Tribolium castaneum: one gene and its partners. The protein of the gene in region 2 purifies or fractionates together with the protein of the main gene of each other region. This does not show direct contact. Links are inferred from orthologs where the notes say so. Each region holds a gene or a part of one and is shown on either strand. Other genes may lie near its edges.

Evidence for each region. Proteins that work in one complex are often made in the same cells at the same time.
Region 1: the proteins of Prp19 (region 2) and Sf3b1 purify together in Homo sapiens (co-immunoprecipitation; 4 studies listed by BioGRID and IntAct, with this or other methods). This does not show direct contact. The link is inferred for Tribolium castaneum from reciprocal best matches to the Homo sapiens genes PRPF19 and SF3B1.
Region 3: the proteins of Prp19 (region 2) and beta-catenin-like protein 1 purify together in Homo sapiens (affinity purification with mass spectrometry; 4 studies listed by BioGRID and IntAct, counting the BioPlex papers as one, with this or other methods). This does not show direct contact. The link is inferred for Tribolium castaneum from reciprocal best matches to the Homo sapiens genes PRPF19 and CTNNBL1.

What each region holds. Positions count from the first base shown.
Region 1 is NC_087395.1:16,038,586-16,045,042, reverse strand, and holds the start of Sf3b1 (splicing factor 3B subunit 1), read right to left. Parts: upstream 3,664-6,457; 5' UTR 3,547-3,663; coding exon 3,519-3,546; intron 3,465-3,518; coding exon 3,196-3,464; intron 3,147-3,195; coding exon 3,020-3,146; intron 3,015-3,019; exon of another isoform or gene 2,582-3,014; intron 2,378-2,581; coding exon 2,298-2,377; intron 2,185-2,297; coding exon 1,996-2,184; intron 1,948-1,995; coding exon 1-1,947. Other genes in the region: corepressor interacting with RBPJ 1, read right to left, coding at 3,814-4,000, 4,866-5,764. UniProt on the Homo sapiens protein: Component of the 17S U2 SnRNP complex of the spliceosome, a large ribonucleoprotein complex that removes introns from transcribed pre-mRNAs.
Region 2 is NC_087395.1:23,124,919-23,131,036, forward strand, and holds the start of Prp19 (pre-mRNA-processing factor 19), read left to right. Parts: upstream 1-2,490; 5' UTR 2,491-2,498; coding exon 2,499-2,622; intron 2,623-2,744; coding exon 2,745-2,894; intron 2,895-2,938; coding exon 2,939-3,402; intron 3,403-5,656; coding exon 5,657-6,118. UniProt on the Homo sapiens protein: Ubiquitin-protein ligase which is a core component of several complexes mainly involved pre-mRNA splicing and DNA repair. Required for pre-mRNA splicing as component of the spliceosome.
Region 3 is NC_087398.1:8,514,521-8,520,659, reverse strand, and holds beta-catenin-like protein 1, read left to right. Parts: upstream 1-2,769; 5' UTR 2,770-2,869; coding exon 2,870-2,899; intron 2,900-2,952; coding exon 2,953-3,153; intron 3,154-3,207; coding exon 3,208-3,462; intron 3,463-3,544; coding exon 3,545-4,732; 3' UTR 4,733-4,776; downstream 4,777-6,139. Other genes in the region: Pi4KIIalpha (phosphatidylinositol 4-kinase type 2-alpha), read left to right, coding at 997-1,197, 1,255-1,386, 1,436-2,043, 2,092-2,173; uncharacterized protein NdufA3, read right to left, coding at 2,392-2,616. UniProt on the Homo sapiens protein: Component of the PRP19-CDC5L complex that forms an integral part of the spliceosome and is required for activating pre-mRNA splicing.

The DNA of each region.
Region 1 (6,457 bases), about 7.1 Mb from region 2:
TTCGTTTTCGTCTTTCAAATCGTCCACAATCCGGTTGATAATTTCAGAAGCTCCGACTTTATTTGCGATTTCGACAGTCGTGTCGACCAACTGGCGGTAATTTCGCCGGTCCAGCGCCATCCTGTGATTCCAGAAATGTTTAAAGAACTGTGGGAGAATCTCCTCTTTGATGTACTGAGGCTCGACACCGTCAGTCGAACAACACTGCTTGACCACTTTGAGCACAATCTTCTTCATTTCTTCGTCAGGCGATTGAAACTCCCGAATCAAAATCAACATTACTTCTCTTGTGTAATAATTGGCATACTCGGCGTCCATCAGCGGAATCAAATAACCAATAGCTTTCAAAAACGCAGCTAAACCCTTCCCGCGATGGGTCCTAATGCCCTTCCACAGTGGTTTAAGCACCGAATCGAAACTCTCAATACCGTACGGTGTCGCAGCCTCGGCTAACGCCGCGATACCTAACGCCGTAATCGTTCGAACTTTTTGCTGTTCGTCGACCAAACCGTGCTCGATAATCTCAACCAATGATTTCAAATGCGGTAAAATAGCGCACCCCATCAATATTGCGATTTGTTGGACGATTTTAATACCAGTATGCCGGGCCTGCCACGATTTTTTCGACCGACAGACGGCTTTCAAAAACGGCAACAACGAGGGGATTCCCAGAGCTGAAGCGACGACGGCAAACGCACGAGCGGTTGTATTTCGGACGTATTCGTCTATATTGTCAATATCGGGCCGCATGGTCGAAATCATGGTTGCCAATCCGGCGGCTTTGGCCAAATTTGAGATAATCTCACGGCCTTCCACACGCGCGTAGTAATCTTCGTCGATGAGCAACGGTTCGATCACCACCAATATTTTGTGGACGTAGGGACGGACTAAATCGTCCAATTTGTACAAAATTCGGTCTATGACTTTGACTAACAAGTGACGTTCTTGGTCCTCCAGAGTTGGACTCATTAAAAGGGGCAAAATTTGGTTAAAAAGGGGCCCTGCACCGAATTCTCGAGCCTTGTCTGTGATTTGCCTCAAGGCGGCTTTTCGCATGGGAGGGGTCCCGTTTTTGATCTTTAGGAGTAGTTTCATTATTTTCCGTTCTTTCTGTTCCTCAGGACTCAAAGCTTCTTCATCAACATCGACCAATAATTTATCAAAATATTGCGCATCTTCTGGTTTCATGAACGGCAAATTCTGCCCTTTTGGTTGATTATCCAGATATTTGGCTGTCTTATCTTCCTGTTGGATGAAAAATCCCTGGGGAGTATTAACCATGGGTGTGGGCGTGGCTGTCAATTTCCTTGCTGGCGTCCTGATGGGTATATACCCAGCCGGAGGTGCCAAAATCTTGTACCCCGGCGGAAACATCGCATCCAATTCCTCATCCGAATACGGCCTATTCCTCTCGTCAATCTCCCGCTCCCATCGATAGGCCTGGAGTTGTTCCGGAGTCATGGACGCCAAGTGTCCCGGAGTGGGCGTCGCCATGGCCATCGCCTTGACTCCGACCGGAGTTGACCCGCCCGGAGTCAGCATCGGAGTGGCATGGCTTGGCGTTCCGTGCGGCGTTTGCGGCGTCATAGCACCCGGAGTCATGTGCGCCGACGGTGTCTGAACAGAGGGAGTTTCATCCCAACGGGAGCGGCGTTTGGACGCTCCCGGAGTCGGTGTTTCGTGAATCAAGTCGGCTCCGGTTCGGTCGGTGCGCGGGGTTTCAGCCCAGCCGCTCGAATGTCCCGGAGTTTCACGCTCGGTTTTGGGTGTTTCATCCCAGCGGTTTCGACGACTGGCACTCTTGTCATGAGCGGGCGTTTCGCGACCTGGAGTTGCAGCCCCGGGGGTCGCGTCCCAGATACGGGTGGATTGGCCGGGGGTGGCGCCCGGCGTTTCACTGCCTTTGTGGCCGGGGGTTTCGTCCCAGCGGTGGTCGGCTGGAGTTTTCTGTAATTTTTTTATTAATAATTGGTTTTAAAAAATTGGGATTGTTACGTCAGCATCCCAGATGGGGGTAGCAGCTGCACTGTTGGTCGTTACGGAGAGAGTTTTCTTTTTGCTGGGGACGACGACTTCGTCTACGGTTTGGTCCCAGCGCCCCCGTTTCTTAGGTGCGCTCTTTACCTCACCGTTTGTTGATTTGAGTGAACCGTCTTTGGATTTTTCCAGAATTTTTTTCCTCAACTGAAATTAAATTACAAGTGGTCAAAGAAATCAACTTTGAGTTAACAAAGGACTCCATTGCCGGACATAATTACGAAAAAAAATTGGCTAGGTGATAAATTTTTGATACTGACCTCGTTTTCTTCTCCTTTGAGCATCTGCTCTTTCATAATCTGGGTGTAACCGCGGGCATTGATGTCTGGTGTTTTGCCACCTGTAAACATAACAGCGTTGAAAAACGCCAATTAGTAAACGGAAGCACTTGTTGGCAAAAAATGGTCAGACTTTTCTATTTAGTATCTGTTCTTTATTGAATGATTGAAAGATTTGGTTGCACCACAATTCACTCAAACTGATTATTTTTCGAATATTGGGGATTGAAAGGGAGTGAATTTGGCGAACAAATCTTGATACGTACGTGTGATTGTGCTCCATCACAAATCAGGCAGTTTCTCGCAAAACAACTGGTCAAATCGAACCTAGAAATAGGCTGGGGTAATTAATAATTTTCTATACATTGCATACACTCTTTCACTCTTGTTCGATTTTCGTTTACCAACGTTACATTTTACGGAAGTGATCCATTAAAATCGCGGCGATTACTTCTCTAGGAAGACACCCCTAAATGTTGGAATCCAATACAGAACAAATTAGTTTCTTTGTACTGATTTTTATTTAATGCCTACTTTCTCGAGTATTTTTGCTCACTCATGCATCCATTCGCTATCTTTCATATACCCCAATAACATACAAAACTTGAGATAAGCGACAGCAACAGCATTATCTCAAATTTCATATAAAACATAAACAAGTGGAAAAACGAGCTATAAATACTTGGACGAAATCAACTACTCACCGTCAGCGAACGGATCAACACGTTCGGGTGAAATAATCATCCGACGCCTCTTTTGCCTGTACTCGTCCTCTCGATCGGCAATCGTGGGCCTCCTCTTGTCAGCAAACGGATCAAAATCCTTGTCGCTCTAAACAACTCAGTTAACTACCACAAAACTTAAATAACACAAATCTCACCTGAGCGACATCATTGAGGAGCGCCACAGGGGCCCCCAGTCCGGTCCGTTTCTGACTATAACCCACATCGTCGTCCTCTTCATCGGCTTCATCGTTGGCGGCGATCGAGGTCACATAACCCTCGTATTTACCCTTACCGCCGCCCCCATCGTAGATCTCACTATCAAAATAGCCACTCTCGCCTAAACCTACACCCTTCTCGTTTCGCTCCTCTTCCACCGGAATTTCCTTCTTTTTAGACTGGATTTCACGAATTTGGGCCTCGATGTCTAGAGACGCAAAAAAGTCATGAAACGGGCTTTTGGGTGCAAAAAACAGCGTACCTTCATGAGTCCTTGGTATCTGTTCCATTTTCTAGCACCAATGCTTGTTGCTTTGGCTTATTTCGTTTCAAAACACTTTCAAGGAAAATCAATGACAAGCTTGCGTTACAAAATGGCGACTCATTAAGCGCCTGCGCGAAAATGGACCAATAGCCAGCCTGTCGCTAAAGTTGGCGGGATTTATAAATAAAATTCGGTGGAATACGTTTAAAAATATATTACGTTTTCTAAATTATTACAAGTATCATGATAATCCCTATAATCACAACAATTCTAAGAAATGTACAACAAAAACTTAAGAGCGTCTTCTTTTGCTATTTTCATAATAGGAATCATCAGATTTTCGCTTCCTGTCCCGTCTGTAGTCATCATTGTTATGCCGTGAGTGCTTTTTGTCCCTCCTTGACCTGTCCTCATCGGAACTTCTTCGCCCATTCTTTTCGTTCCTTTTACTGATTGCTTTCTCCACAATTTCCAGTTTCCTGTAATCAATTAATTAATAGTAAATTAAAAGATCTTTGTACTATTTTTTGTAATTGCCCCCTTTTTGTCGTTTTTAAATAAAAAATATTATTTTAATCGATTTAGGGATTTTTGAATTTTTGTAAAATTGTCATTTGTCAAAATTCAAGGCTAGTATGATTTTGGCAAAATATGGCTATAACTCAGTCTTTCAAATGGAACGATCCTTTTTTCTTAACAGCAATCGAACATCAATATTTATGGTGACTTTTATGAACACGTCCTATACCCATTTCCTACATTTTTAGAAATAATTACAAAAAAAAACACGGATTTTACTTCGTAATTTTCATAGTTAATCAAGTAGACCTTGCAAAATGGTCAACAACTGTCCAACTTTTATTTAGTTTTTAGTTGATTTATTATCAAATAAGCAGTACTTTTATTTAATAGCACAACTTTATCGTATTTTTCGAAAGTTTACTCGATTAAAATTGAAAACAATGAGCTTTTGGTCTTTTTTTTTTGAGATTATTTTAAAAAGTATAAGAGATAGATATAGGAGATATTGATAAAAGTCTCCATAAAAATCGATATCCTTTTGATTACCATTCAAAAATTTGAAAAAACTGTTATAATTACTTTTTGATCAATTTCAAAAAATCATAGTAGTCTTGCAATTTGACATTTGACAATCCTGAAAATTTGAAAAGACCCTTTGAACCTTTGGTTATCGAATACTAATATAATTATTTATTTATTGTAAAAGTTTCAAGAGTTGTGATTTTTTAAATGAACTACTGCAAATGAAAATTTTCGTACAAAAAATTGATATTCGACTAAAAAGTAGAGTACATTGTCCTCAGTTTTAAAGTCGAAACTTACTTAATCAATGCCTTTTTCTCCTCTTTGGACATTAGTTTAAACTCTGACGACTTTTCCTTCTTCTTGTGTTTCTTCTTATCATCTTCCGATTCCTCCTCAGAGCTCGTACTCTGATTCCTCCTCCTGAACTTCCTCTTCCCTGCTTTCTTCCTGTCTTCATCTGAGGAAGCCTCATCTGAATCCCTTCGTTTCTTGTTCTTCTTATCTCTCCCCCCCTTTTCAATCTTCTCCAACTTCTTCAACAACGCCTTCTTCTGCTTCTTCGTCAACGACTTAATAAAAGTCACAACCGAATTCTCATCAGCATCCTCGTTAATAATCAAATCATAATTAGCAGTCCCCGTATTGCTCAAATACTGCTTTTTAATCGCAAGCCCATCCTCCCTCATTTGCTCAACCAACGACTTCTGGTCCAAAATCGAGGCCGACTCGAGCGACCTGGCCACACTGGTCGACAAACTGTACATGGGGCACTCCTTATCCGTGTTAATGTGCCCCCATTTGTGGCACTTGATGCACCTGACGTTCCGCACTTGTATCCCGAACGGCTGGTCCCTAATCTCTTGATCGCCCTTACAGTAGCTCTCACGGGGGGCGTTGTATTTACGCTGCCACTCGAACTTGTACTCCGGCTCGTTGTCCTCGCGCTCGCGCTCCTTGCGCGCCCCGGGCGGGGGCTCGTACATGAAGTTGATGCTCAACTTGTCTTTGCTCTCCTTGCTCAGCATCGCCTTATTGTCGTGCAAGTCCTGCTCCTTCTCGTACTGCTGGCGCAGCTCCTCCTGCTTCTTCTTGTAGGCCTCGGCCTTCTGCTCCGCCATCCACACCCGCTTCAGGTTGTCCCGCGAAGCGGGGTGGAAGAACTTCTTACACATGTAGTTGTTGAAGCCTTTGCCCATCCTGACTGTTTTTGCTAAACTATTGCACAAATAAACGATTAATAACGCCAAACAAACTCACACTGACACCACACTGACACTTGCTAGTGGCAAGGGCAGCACTGGGCAAGGCAACACTGGTGTCACAAGTGAAAAGTCCCCAACACCATTATTATTAAATAATTTCATAAAAGATTCAATTTAATGACTGTTTTTAATTAATTAGTGTATTTTGGGTGTAACTGGTTTAATGTTATCAAATAGATATAAACTGTGGCCACCTTTTTGTATTTGTCGAATTTTGTTACATATTCGGTTATTAAGTATTTCGGTAGCTTGCGCGGTAGCTACTTCAGTGCGCAAGTTGTCAAATTTTTAACCTCACTTTCTTACGAATGGAATGCAATAAAAAAATGTTTTTAACGAATGCTTTGGAAGCTGTTTCTGGTGGTAGCTCCTAACAGTGTCCCAAAGTGAAATAAAAAAAGAAGTTGTGAGTGTATCAGTACATAACAATCAAATACTCTTTGAAAAAAAAAAGGTGGAAACAGTATTCAGAATGGCCCCCGAAGTGCGAATCAATTATAGAAAAGGAGGAAAATAGTAAAAATAATGAATAAGAATTTTGCAAAATGCTTTTATCGAAAAGTTGTTGTAGTTTATGTTTTATTACCTAGTAAACTTAACACACGTTAACAGGCCCTTTATGAACGA
Region 2 (6,118 bases):
TTACAATGTCGTATACACCGGCTCTAAATACGGTGTTGAAAAGTCAGTTTGAGTGACTCATTTTAAATTCAGTAACTATTAATAAAATCAAACACTCAAACAATTTATTGCCACGTAATAATTTTGTCTTTAATTTCAATGAATGAAAGTGGCTTGCTCAAAATTTAATGCAAAGAAACATTTTTTTTTTTGGTTTCTTTTTTATTATTATTATTTTTTATGCTACAAACGGTAGCCAACGTGGAAGCGAAACACAGGTACGTCCATTTTATTGTTGTGTCGTATTTATTTATTTATTTCACAAACCAATAATTTCATAAAATTTAATTGCAATTACAATGTCGTATACACCGGCTCTAAATACGGTGTTGAAAAGTCATAGTTTGAGTGACTCATTTTAAATTCAGTAACTAAAAATTAAATCAAACACTCAAACAGTTTATTGCCACGTAATAATTTTGTCTTTAATTTCAATGAATGAAAGTGGCTTGCTCAAAATTTAATGCAAAGAAACATTTTTTTTTTGGTTTCTTTTTTATTATTATTATTTTTTATGCTACAAACGGTAGCCAACGTGGAAGCGAAACACAGGTACGTCCATTTTATTGTTGTGTCGTATTTATTTATTTATTTTACAAACCAATAATTTCATAAAATTTAATTGCAATTACAATGTTGCTCTAAATACGGTGTTGAAAAGTCATAGTTTGAGTGACTCATTTTAAATTCAGTAACTAAAAATTAAATCAAACACTCAAACAGTTTATTGCCACGTAATAATTTTGTCTTTAACTTCAATGAATGAAAGTGGCTTGCTCAAAATTTAATGCAAAGAAACATTTTTTTTTGGTTTCTTTTTTATTATTATTATTTTTTTTGCTACAAACGGTAGCCAACGTGGAAGCGAAACACAGGTACGTCCATTTTATTGTTGTGTCGTATTTATTTATTTCACAAACCAATAATTTCATAAAATTTAATTGCAATTACAATGTCGTATACACCGGCTCTAAATACGGTGTTGAAAAGTCAGTTTGAGTGACTCATTTTAAATTCAGTAACTATTAATAAAATCAAACACTCAAACAATTTATTGCCACGTAATAATTTTGTCTTTAATTTCAATGAATGAAAGTGGCTTGCTCAAAATTTAATGCAAAGAAACATTTTTTTTTTGGTTTCTTTTTTATTATTATTATTTTTTATGCTACAAACGGTAGCCAACGTGGAAGCGAAACACAGGTACGTCCATTTTATTGTTGTGTCGTATTTATTTATTTCACAAACCAATAATTCGTTAAAATTTAATTGCAAATAAAATGTTGTGTACACCGGCTCTAATACGGTGTTGAAAAGTCATAGTTTGAGTTTTAAATTCAGTAACTAAAAAGAAAACACTCAAACAATTTATCGTCGCGTTTTGATTTTGTCTTTAATTTCAATCGATGAAAGTCACTTGCTCTAAATTTAATGCAAACATTTTTTTTTGGTTTCATTTTTATTATTATTATTTTTTTAATGCTACAAACGGTAGCCAACGTGGAAGCGATATGAAGGTAGGTGTATTTATTTACTGAAGTTTTAAATTTAAATTGCCACATATTAAAACGTATTGTGTATTTTTTATTTTGTTTAATATTGACAAATGTTGCTTGTTGTAACTTTCATGCAAATAAAGATTTTTTATTGGTGTTGTTTTTATTTTTTAATGTCTTGCTACAAACAGTAGCCAACGCAGAAGCCATATGAAGGTAGGTGCATTTTTTTGCGTTTTATCTTGTGATGTGTTGAATTTAATAGCTTGTGTGCCATATATTATACCGTATTGTGCATCCTTTATTCTGTATAATATTTATTAGTGTCGCTTTTTGTAACTTTCCTACAAATTATTTTTTTTTGTTGGTTGTGTTTTTAATTTATTTTTTAGGTTTTGCTACAAATGGTAGCAGATGCAGTATAAAGGTAAGAACATTTATTTAACGCCAAGTGAAAAACTTTGATTTTTGTGTACTTTTTTTTTATTACACAAACCAGTAATGTCTTTATTCCCTTTTATTTTCCAATAATCATTGTTTACCTCATCCTTATTTCCTTTTTTCCTGGCAAGAATGCTCTAAACCTCCACGTGGTTCTTGCTGGACAAATTAGTTATTAATTTGACTGATTAGAGCAATCTTTAAATACGAATTTTTTTAACGCAGTTTGCAAAATTGAGACATTTTTTTACAGCCGAAGGCCCTATCGAAGGGCTTATTCCCCTACAAAAATAATGAACATTGCACGGTAAAAAGGGGGTGAAAAAAAACAATTTGCATTGCTTGAATATAAGAATAAAAATGTAGTCAAGTTTTAATTTGTAATAGAAACACATTAGAATGATCAGGGTATGTTTTTCTAATGATTTACGATTATTTTGATAATTTTCCTGGTGTGAACTTGGCTGTAGAAACGAGAATGTTGCTAGCTCCAGGCGCGCAACGATTGTCTGGTCGACTGTAATGTTCATGGTGCCATCATCATTTTTAGTGCATCTGCACAGATATCTCGGCCACAGTGTTTTTCACTTTGTGCGGTTGGCGACACATCAAGCTAAGTTAGCAAAAATGGCGTTGTTTTGTGCCCGTAAGTATGAATTTTTGTTGCGATTTTGAATAAAGTACGCTTTTTTAACGAATCAAAACTTAATTCGAGTGTCAGTAATGAGCTTCTGGCGCAGTTTGGGTAACGATTTGGCCCGGTTTCAGTTTCAAACGAGGTGCCGGAACACCCAGTCGTGTCCCCAACGTCGGGTGCGATTTTCGAAAAACGCATCATCGAAAAGTACATCCAGGAGCACGGCAAGGACCCCATCAGCGGTGACGAGCTCACCGTGGACAAGCTCATTGAAATTAAGAGTGAGTAGCCTAACCCAACTTGTTCGGTTCTAACCGCCACACAGCCCCGCCGATAGTCAAGCCGAAGCCGCCGAGCGCCACCAGCATCCCGGCCACGCTGAAGCTGCTGCAGGACGAGTGGGACGCCGTGATGCTGTACAGCTTCACGCAGAGGCAGCAGCTGCAGACGGCGCGCCAGGAGCTGAGCCACGCGCTCTACCAGCACGACGCCGCGTGTCGCGTGATCGCGCGCCTCAACAAGGAGGTGACCGCCGCCAGGGAGGCGCTGGCCACGCTGAAGCCCCAAGCGGGCATCATCACGGTGCCGCAGCCCGCGGTGGCGGCCGAGGCCGGCGGCATCGCCAACCAGCCGACAGAGCAATGCGGCCTGACTGATGAAGTGATTGAGAAGCTGCAGGACAAGGCCACGGTGTTGACGCAGGAGAGGAAGAAGAGGAGCAAGACGGTGCCTGAAGAGGTGTCCACGCCGGAGCAGTTGAGGGGATTCAAGACTTTGGCCTCACATCCGGTATATTTTCAATGTTTTTATTTATACCATCCAGTATTTCCCCGAACATCTCTTGCATTTTGCACAATTGTCGTTTTAAAAATTTCACTTGACAAATGCAAAGATTACTAAATGTGGTAGAAAATGACTTAGTTTTCTCTCTTACGAGTGTTTTAGCACATTTACCAATTGGAAAAACGTGTAAAGGTTGGTGTTATTTTGCTGGATTTACTCGATTTAGCTTGTTATTGGGCGAAATTTCATCAAAAATAAGCCAAAAGTCACAGGATGTGTTCAAAACACTGATATTTTTTAACTAAATGTTCGTTCAAATAAAAGAATTTCTTTCTAACCTAATTCTAATTGAATTGAGCCAAAAATGCGTTGTTTTTTTTAAGTAAATATCTAAATATTTCAATAAAGTGATCGAAAATGATGTCATTTCAGGTTGTTTATCTCGAACTTATTCTGAGAAATCAGGAAATTAATTTGGGAAATCTTCTATTTTCGTAATACATTTTGCAGTCAAAAAGCAAAATTTCGTTGAAATCTTGTTATTTTTGCCATTTTCCGGCAATTTAATTCGTATAACATTCGACAATGTAGTTATTTCGAATTTTTTTTTTAAGATAAGAGCGAAAATGTTACATTTTTTTGTTGTTTTCAAGTGTTTTAAATTTTTTTTGAAAACAATTTAAGCTTTTTTCTATAAACATTACAAAAACTTAATAAAAAAGCACTATTTTTACATCAAGATGGTTGTTATTTTAGACCATTCCCTTCGATTTTGTTTGTTTTTGAGCCAGGAATTTATTTATTTCCCAACAATAAAAATATAAACTTATTATTTTGTTTTTATTAACTTTGATTAACTTTCGCGAAATTCCCTTTAAAAAAAAACGCAAGAAACCACAAAATTTGATCAAAATTTTTACGTTTTTTAAGCTTTAGAGCACGTTTTTGAATTTAATTTTCAGCTTTTTTGGCGAAATTTTGCAAAACCAACTGAGAAAAACATGCAGAAATAATTTTTCTGTTTTTTGAGGCTTTTCTAAAAAGGTAGATGAAAAAAACACCAAATTAATTCTAAGATTTTATTATTTTTCGAGTTCACGAGCATTTTAGTACGCTTTTAAGACAGAACTGTTTTCCAAATTTCGTAAAAAAAATAAAAAGCCGACTCTTTTATTTTACGAGATCTTGACAAAACACCTAAAAATCAAAAACTTATTATCAGCTTATTTTTGAATGAAATGTTCCCAAAAACAAGACAAGAAACCAATGAAATTGTTAAAATTCTTATTTTTTCTTTATTCATGCTTTCAAGCACATTTGAATTTTTGTTTTAATCGCCAAATTAAATATAGAAAACTACATTAATTTTTCATTTGCGATCATTTTAATACGTTTTACACTTAAAACCACAAATATTCCGCAAAATTTCGTTCAAAACCATTCGGAAACTAATTTATTTTGTAATATCTTGTCACATAAGTGAATCGACATTAATTATTATTTAATTATTTAGTATATTTGAGTTTGAGTGAAATTCGTCAAAACTCATTATAAATAAGTCGAAAATTGTGTTAGTTTTACTTTTTTCCGGGCTGTAAGCACAAACTTTTGCTAGAATTGGCTAAAATCATCAAATTAATTAACACAATAACAAGTGTTCATTTAAAAAAAACTCTAGAGTGCTTTGAAAATAAAAAAATAATTGTTTACTATGTCTGTGATTAATCCGTTCTTTCATAACCTTACTTTTTGACAACTAAAAGAAAACAGATTTTCATCATAAAATTTATTTATTATTTATAAAAACTGTTGGAAATGTCTTCCTTGTTGTTCAACACACATAACACATCGCCTTTGAACACTATTTAACAATCTTTGGCTATGAATTGTGATGACCTGGTTGATAGGCAACCAACAATACAATGATAAAAATTGATCTACGAAATCCGTAAAAATGTCAGAGCATGCTACGAGTTTTTTTTAAATAATGAACACCTGATACCATTTATTTAGTTCGCTCTTGAACCAGGAAATTCTTCATTTCATTAGAACTCGCCAAAACTGCCAAAAATTCACTTTTAATTCAGCTCATTTTTTGACCTAAATTTGGTTAATCTTTTTTTACTTTTATTAAGGTTTTGAACCACATTTTCAGTTTGTTCAAGCAAACCGAAAAATCACCAAGTTCGGGCGAAAATTAGCAGATTACATTTTTTATTGAGCTAGAGTACACTTTACAGAGTAATTTCTTTGCCTCCAGGGGCTGCATTCGGCGAGCGTCCCCGGTATTTTGGCCCTTGACGTGCACAATTCCGACACAAGCAAAATTCTGACCGGTGGTAATGATCGCAACGCCACCGTATTCAACAAAGACACGGAACAAGTTGTGGCGATTCTCAAAGGCCACACTAAAAAAGTCACAAAAGTGGTCTACCACCCTGACGAGGACCTTGTTATCACCGCATCGCCCGACTCCACAATCCGCGTTTGGAACGTGCCAACGTCCCAAACCACTCTACTGCTGCGCGTCCACGAAGGTCCAATCACCGGACTGTCCCTGCATCCGACTGGGGACTACGTCCTGTCGGCTTCAGAGGACCAGCATTGGGCGTTTTCGGACATCAGAACGGGCGAACTGTTGACGAAAGTCGCCGACCAGAGCAATATTCCCCTGACGACGGCCCAGCTGCATCCAGACGGGCTGATTTTCGGCACGGGGACG
Region 3 (6,139 bases), on a different chromosome or scaffold from region 2:
ATTAACGTTCCGGCACACCACTTGTTATTTATCGGTGTGAGTCATGATTAAGAAGGAAAAACAAATATCTTCGAATGTTATACTGAACTTTCCGATTTTTTGAAAAGTCGTATCATGAGGTCAATTTTAACACCCAATCTGCTCAATTGTTTTGATCCTTGTATGTTTGTAAATAAATGCAAGGTATGACATTTTGAGCTTATATAAATTGGGAATTTCGGGGAGGTACTACTGCTGAGTTTCATCCAGTGCCATTGGTAAATTCCCGACAATTTTTGCATCAGTATTTTGAACATAAATTATATTTATAAATTGCAGAATTGTAGTTAATACAATTATCTCTTGATAAAAAAAAACTAATAGTCGTAATTTAAAAATATTGTGCATCTAAAAGAAACCAACACTCGAATCTAGGGCTTAACCTTTGACACTGAATAAATAATTTGTTATCAGAAAACTTCGACTAAGTAATAACGTCTAGACTTGTTTTGGAGTTAAAATTAGCTTCCCTTTATTCGCATTCGAGTCCAGAATCCGTTAAATGGTATTAAAGTTCTTTTGCATTCGATTAAGCAAAAGTATTATGAGCTTTGCACATTTGAATTGCATTTATTTAAGTGGATTTGCCGGGCGTATGCACATAATATTACGTATTCCAATAGAAGTATGAATAATCAGTGGTAGCTTGACCACATTTGATATTTACATTGTGGTTTGAAACTAAAGTACCAAAAAATTGCATCTTTTGTTAGTTTTCTTTGTGCGATCATGGTTCAGTTAATTGAGTTTGTCTGCATTGAAGAACAGAATTAATTGTCTACAACAATTTATTTATAAAGAGTATACAGTTATACACTCTCCATTTTTATAAAACCAAGAAAAATACAAAAATAAAAATTCAAACAGTATTGAACTTAATTTTATTAATTCAAAAAATGCAGCAAAAAATAACATTAGTTCGCGTTGGTGTTCCGCAAATAATTTTGTGTTTTCCAGAAAATAATCGCGGTTTTCAAGCCGAAAGACGAGGAACCTTACGGCCGTCTGAATCCCAAATGGACGAAATGGATGCATAAGCTGTGTTGTCCTTGCTGTTTCGGCAGATCATGTTTAATTCCAAATCAGGGTTATTTATCAGAGGCTGCTGCTTATTTAGTCGATTCAAAACTTAATCTCAACATTGTACCAAAAACAAGGGTATTAGATAAGCTTCCGTGGTAATTAGCGCCACTTTGTTACTCCTTTGTGTCGTAGGTCGTCAAATTAGTGTCAGAAACGTTCAATTATCCTAGAATAGACAGGCAAAAAGCGCGCATGAAGCGAGCAATTATGGAGCAGTTTCCCAACGTCGGTTTAAGGTTTAACAGGATAGGTCTGCCACCAAAGGTTCCTACTTATTTATTTCACGTTTTGGAAATTTAACCCGATTTTTTAGTGTGGTTCATTCCAGTTGTTTGTAGATGGTTACAAGGACGCCGATTATTGGCTGCGGAGGTTCGAGGTGGAGCCTCTACCTCCGCGAATGGCTCAAAAATTTCAACTTCAGTTTGAACGCTTAGTCGTTTTAGATTATATAATACGAAACACGGATCGCGGAAATGATAATTGGCTTATCAAATACGAACATCCTACGATTTCTAACGGAAACGGTCCAGTAGAATTAACCGAAACCACAGAGTGGAATCTAGTTCATTTACCTGAGATAAAGGTCGCGGCGATAGACAATGGGTTGGCGTTTCCTTACAAGCATCCAGACAGCTGGAGGGCCTATCCGTACCACTGGGCATGGTTACCACAGGCTAAAGTTCCCTTCAGTAAAGAAACGAAGGATCTTGTTCTACCGTTGCTAGCCGATATGAATTTTGTGCAGGATTTATGTGATGATTTATATTTACTATTTAAGCAAGATAAGGGCTTTGACAGGAGTCTGTATGAAAGGCAAATGTCAGTGATGAGGGGCCAAATTCTTAACCTAACGCAAGCTCTGAAGGATGGGAAGTCCCCGGTGCAGCTAGTCCAAATGCCGGCTGTTGTCGTGGAAAGGTATTATTTGTTCAGTCAGTAATAATAACGCATTATTCGGTCTTTTAGGTCACAAAGCCAACAAACGTCTCGATTTTTCAACTTTACACAACGCTTCCAGGACAAGAGCCCCTTCTTCTCATGGTGTTAACAGATTTCTTTTTATATATGTATATTACGAATAGGCCAGATTTTTAATACACTATCATGTAAATACAGTACTATTTGCTGTTATTTTAACTAGGAAATTTTTTAATCAGATTATTGTTATTTTCCTTATTGGTACGGTTAAAAAAACTGATGAAATTATAATTTATTAAACAAAACAAATGGTACTACAATAAAACGTATATTGATTATCTAGTGTCTTTAATCCTTCCTAACTTTTTCTGCGCGGGGATCATCATGACGAATCACTGTGTATTCGATTTTGTACCGTCTGTTGTCCCCGTCTTTAACATTGTAGTATAAATGAAAAGAGATAGCCCCCAGCCCAAGTCCAATGAGAGCCATTACACCACTGCCCATCACATCAGGAATCTCATGCCAACCACGTTTTAGTAAACCAATGGAAGCTCGACCTGACGCCGACATTGTGCTACAAAAACTTATAAATTCCCGAATTTAATTAATTTGGACCTTGTGTACCTGTTATATAATTTTTATTATTTGTTACAATTGGAAATAACCTTACAATCCCCTGACAAGTTTTTGACAGTTAAAATGTCAAATTTCTAGTGACTTAATTTTTTATTCTCTAGCAATTTTAAAAATTTATAGGTTAAATTCACAGAAATTTGACATAAACAAAGAGGTTAGTTATTAAGTTTCCCAAAAAACCTTAAAAATGGATATTGGTGAATTACTGGACTACAAAGTAAGTCAACACATTTGACGAAATTCATTTCTAATACAAAATTCCGACTGTAGCCCCCTCAAGGCGTAAAACGCCCAGTCGAGAATGAAAACGATGAAATCGAAAAACAGAGAAAAATGCGGCGAATTGCACGGGATAAAGCCAATAGAATGTCCCGTGCCGCATCCCCAACCCCGTCAATACAAACTTTGGACCAGATATCCGAAGAAGAAAGACAAGAAATATTAAAATTTGTGGAAACTGAACAAACAGAAGTATCTCCTCAGTCAGTTCCAAGCCCATTCGTTTACAACTAGACTGTGTTTCAGGGCGAAGTCATTGACGAAGCGGCAATCAAGCGAATTGTTCTAAATTTCGAAAAACGGAGTCTCAAAAACAGAGAAATGAGGATCAAGTTTCCAGACTCGCCTGAAAAGTTTATGGAGAGCGAGCTCGAACTACATGAAATTTTACAAGAAATGAGGGTGTTATCGACCGCACCTGACTATTACCCCCTTCTTGTGAAGCTGCAAGTCATACCCAGCTTGCTGGAACTGTTGGCACATGATAACACTGATGTGGCAGTAAGTAAAAATAATAAACGTTATTGTAAATATCAAGAACAGTTAGCAGCTGTTATCTTTATTGCATTAAAAAATGTGTCAGGTGGCGACCGTGGAGCTGTTGCAAGAACTGACCGATGTGGACATCCTCCACGAGTCTGAAGAAGGTGCCGAAGCCCTAATTGACGCCTTGCTCGACCACCAAGTGATAGCCCTCCTCGTCCAAAACCTGGACCGTTTGGACGAAAAAGTGAAGGAGGAAGCAGACGGTGTCCACAACTCCCTATCAATAATAGAAAACTTGACCGAACTCCGCAATGACATTTGCAACGAGGCCACCAAACAGGGCTTGCTCCAGTGGCTCTTGAAACGGTTGAAAGTCAAAGCCCCTTTCGACGCCAACAAACTCTACGCCAGCGAACTCCTCTCAATCCTGCTCCAAGACAACGAAAAAAACCGAACTGCTTTGGGCGAAATGGACGGAATCGACACTTTGTTGCAACAGTTGGCCTTCTACAAGCGCCACGACCCCTCCAGTGCCGAAGAACACGAGCTAATGGAGAACCTGTTCAACTGTTTGTGCAGCGCACTGATGATCGTCTCAAACCGAGACCGGTTTCTCAAAGGCGAGGGCTTGCAACTGATGAATTTGATGCTCAGAGAGAAGAAAACCTCGCGGAACGGCTCACTTAAAGTGCTGGATTACGCAATGTCGGGCCCCCATGGCAAAGACAATTGCAACAAGTTCGTGGATATTTTAGGCCTGCGGACCATTTTCCCCCTATTTATGAAAACGCCGAAGAAGAACAGGAAGAAAGTCTTGTCGACGGAAGAGCACGAAGAGCACGTCACTTCGATTATCGCGTCCATGCTGCGGAATTGTCGCGGGTCGCAGAGACAAAGGCTCATTAGTAAATTTACGGAAAATGATCACGAGAAAGTCGACAGGTTGCTTGAGCTACACTTCAAATATTTGGAGAAGGTTGAAGCCATTGATGAGGCCATTGAGGAGGAAAATGGAGTTGAGGATGATGATGCGAGTTATATGAAGCGGCTGGAAGGAGGATTGTTCACGTTGCAGTTGGTGGATTATATTATTGTGGAAGTTTGTGCTGCGGGACCCGCCAGTATTAAGCAGCGAGTTATGCAAATCCTCAATCTTAGGGGGGCTTCGTTGAAGACGATAAGGCACATTATGCGGGAATATGCCGGGAATTTGGGGGACGAAGGGGATAAGGAGTGGAGGGATCAGGAGCAGCAACACATTTTGCACTTAGTTGATAAGTTTTGATATGTTATTGCCATTACTTCGAATAAAAATTATTTCATTTGGTATTTTCCTAATTTCTCGTCACAAGGGATTTTGCAGTGTTCAAAAATTATAATCACTTTATTAACAGCCAACGGATCTTTTAAAAACAAAGACACTACACTTGACTCAAGTACAAACACTAAAACACTTCTTTCTAAGACTAAAAATAAGTAATAAACGTAACAAAATAAGCATAATGTAGGTTGTACAATTTAATTCTTTTATCTGTTTTTGGCCATCAATATAATACCTGGAAAGGTCAATACTGTATTTATGTTCAGTGAAGTGTTGATTATTGTATCACTGTTTTTTTTTATATTCATTAAAAGTATTGCTCTAGCATTTGTTTATGTTACCTTATAACAACGAGTTTTAAATTAACATTATTACGTTACTCCTGTTGGAGCCAAAAATTACACAAAAATAGACTTTAATACTTTCTTATCCTACAAATATAGTGCCATCAAAAATTTCAAATTATGTGCGTTGAACAGTAGTAATTACTTGGCATGCCTCCGATGTTGGCAAAACTGAAAATCGGTGAAAACTTGTCGTTTTTGCACCTTTAGGAGCCCTAAAGCCTCACAAAAATAAAAATATCGTTTTTTGAAAGGTGTGAATTCTTGAAAAATTCTACAACGATCGATCAAAATTAAGCCGTAAAAATAATTCAAAAATTTTTTTAATTATAACCAGACCGCCAGTTTAATGTATGACGAATCATTTTCGAAATATCGAGCGGAAATTTGAGTTTCCGAGTTCTAATCTTTTCACCTAGAACTAAAGTGACCATCCCAACAAATTTAAAATCTTGGCATTAAATAGTAATAGCAGTACAGAGTACAGTTCAGATAACGAGAAAAACCGTGGAATTTTTTTGTTTAACTAGCATATTTTTTTAAGTTTTAATAATTTAAAATAAGCTTACGAAAAATCTTTGTTTTTTAAACAAAATTTGAAATTGAAATGCAAAACGTTCCAAGAAGTCGATTGGCGTCGACAAACTTAATAAATTCAAAGTTATCAAGTATTCAGAAAGTGGTCCTTTTTGTCTATTACAACAATTTTCTCAGTAACTGTGAGCAATCTCAAACGAAAAATTAAAAGTAGGAGAGTTATGGGAGTCAAACTAGTGTGCCGGTACCGGAGACAGCCCTAATTATTTTCCTCGAAAATTATGAAGGCATCCAAACTTCAAGGAAATTTTTGATCACACCATATTTATAACAATATCACAATTTTGCCACAAAACACAACATGAAATTATTGTAATTAATAATGAAGCACTGATTATTTGGCTTGATACAAATCCCAAAATGAATTTATTTGAAAAGGCTTCCTTCCGTTCAAGAATCACAAAAAAAGTTGGAAGACTTTTCTGGGATA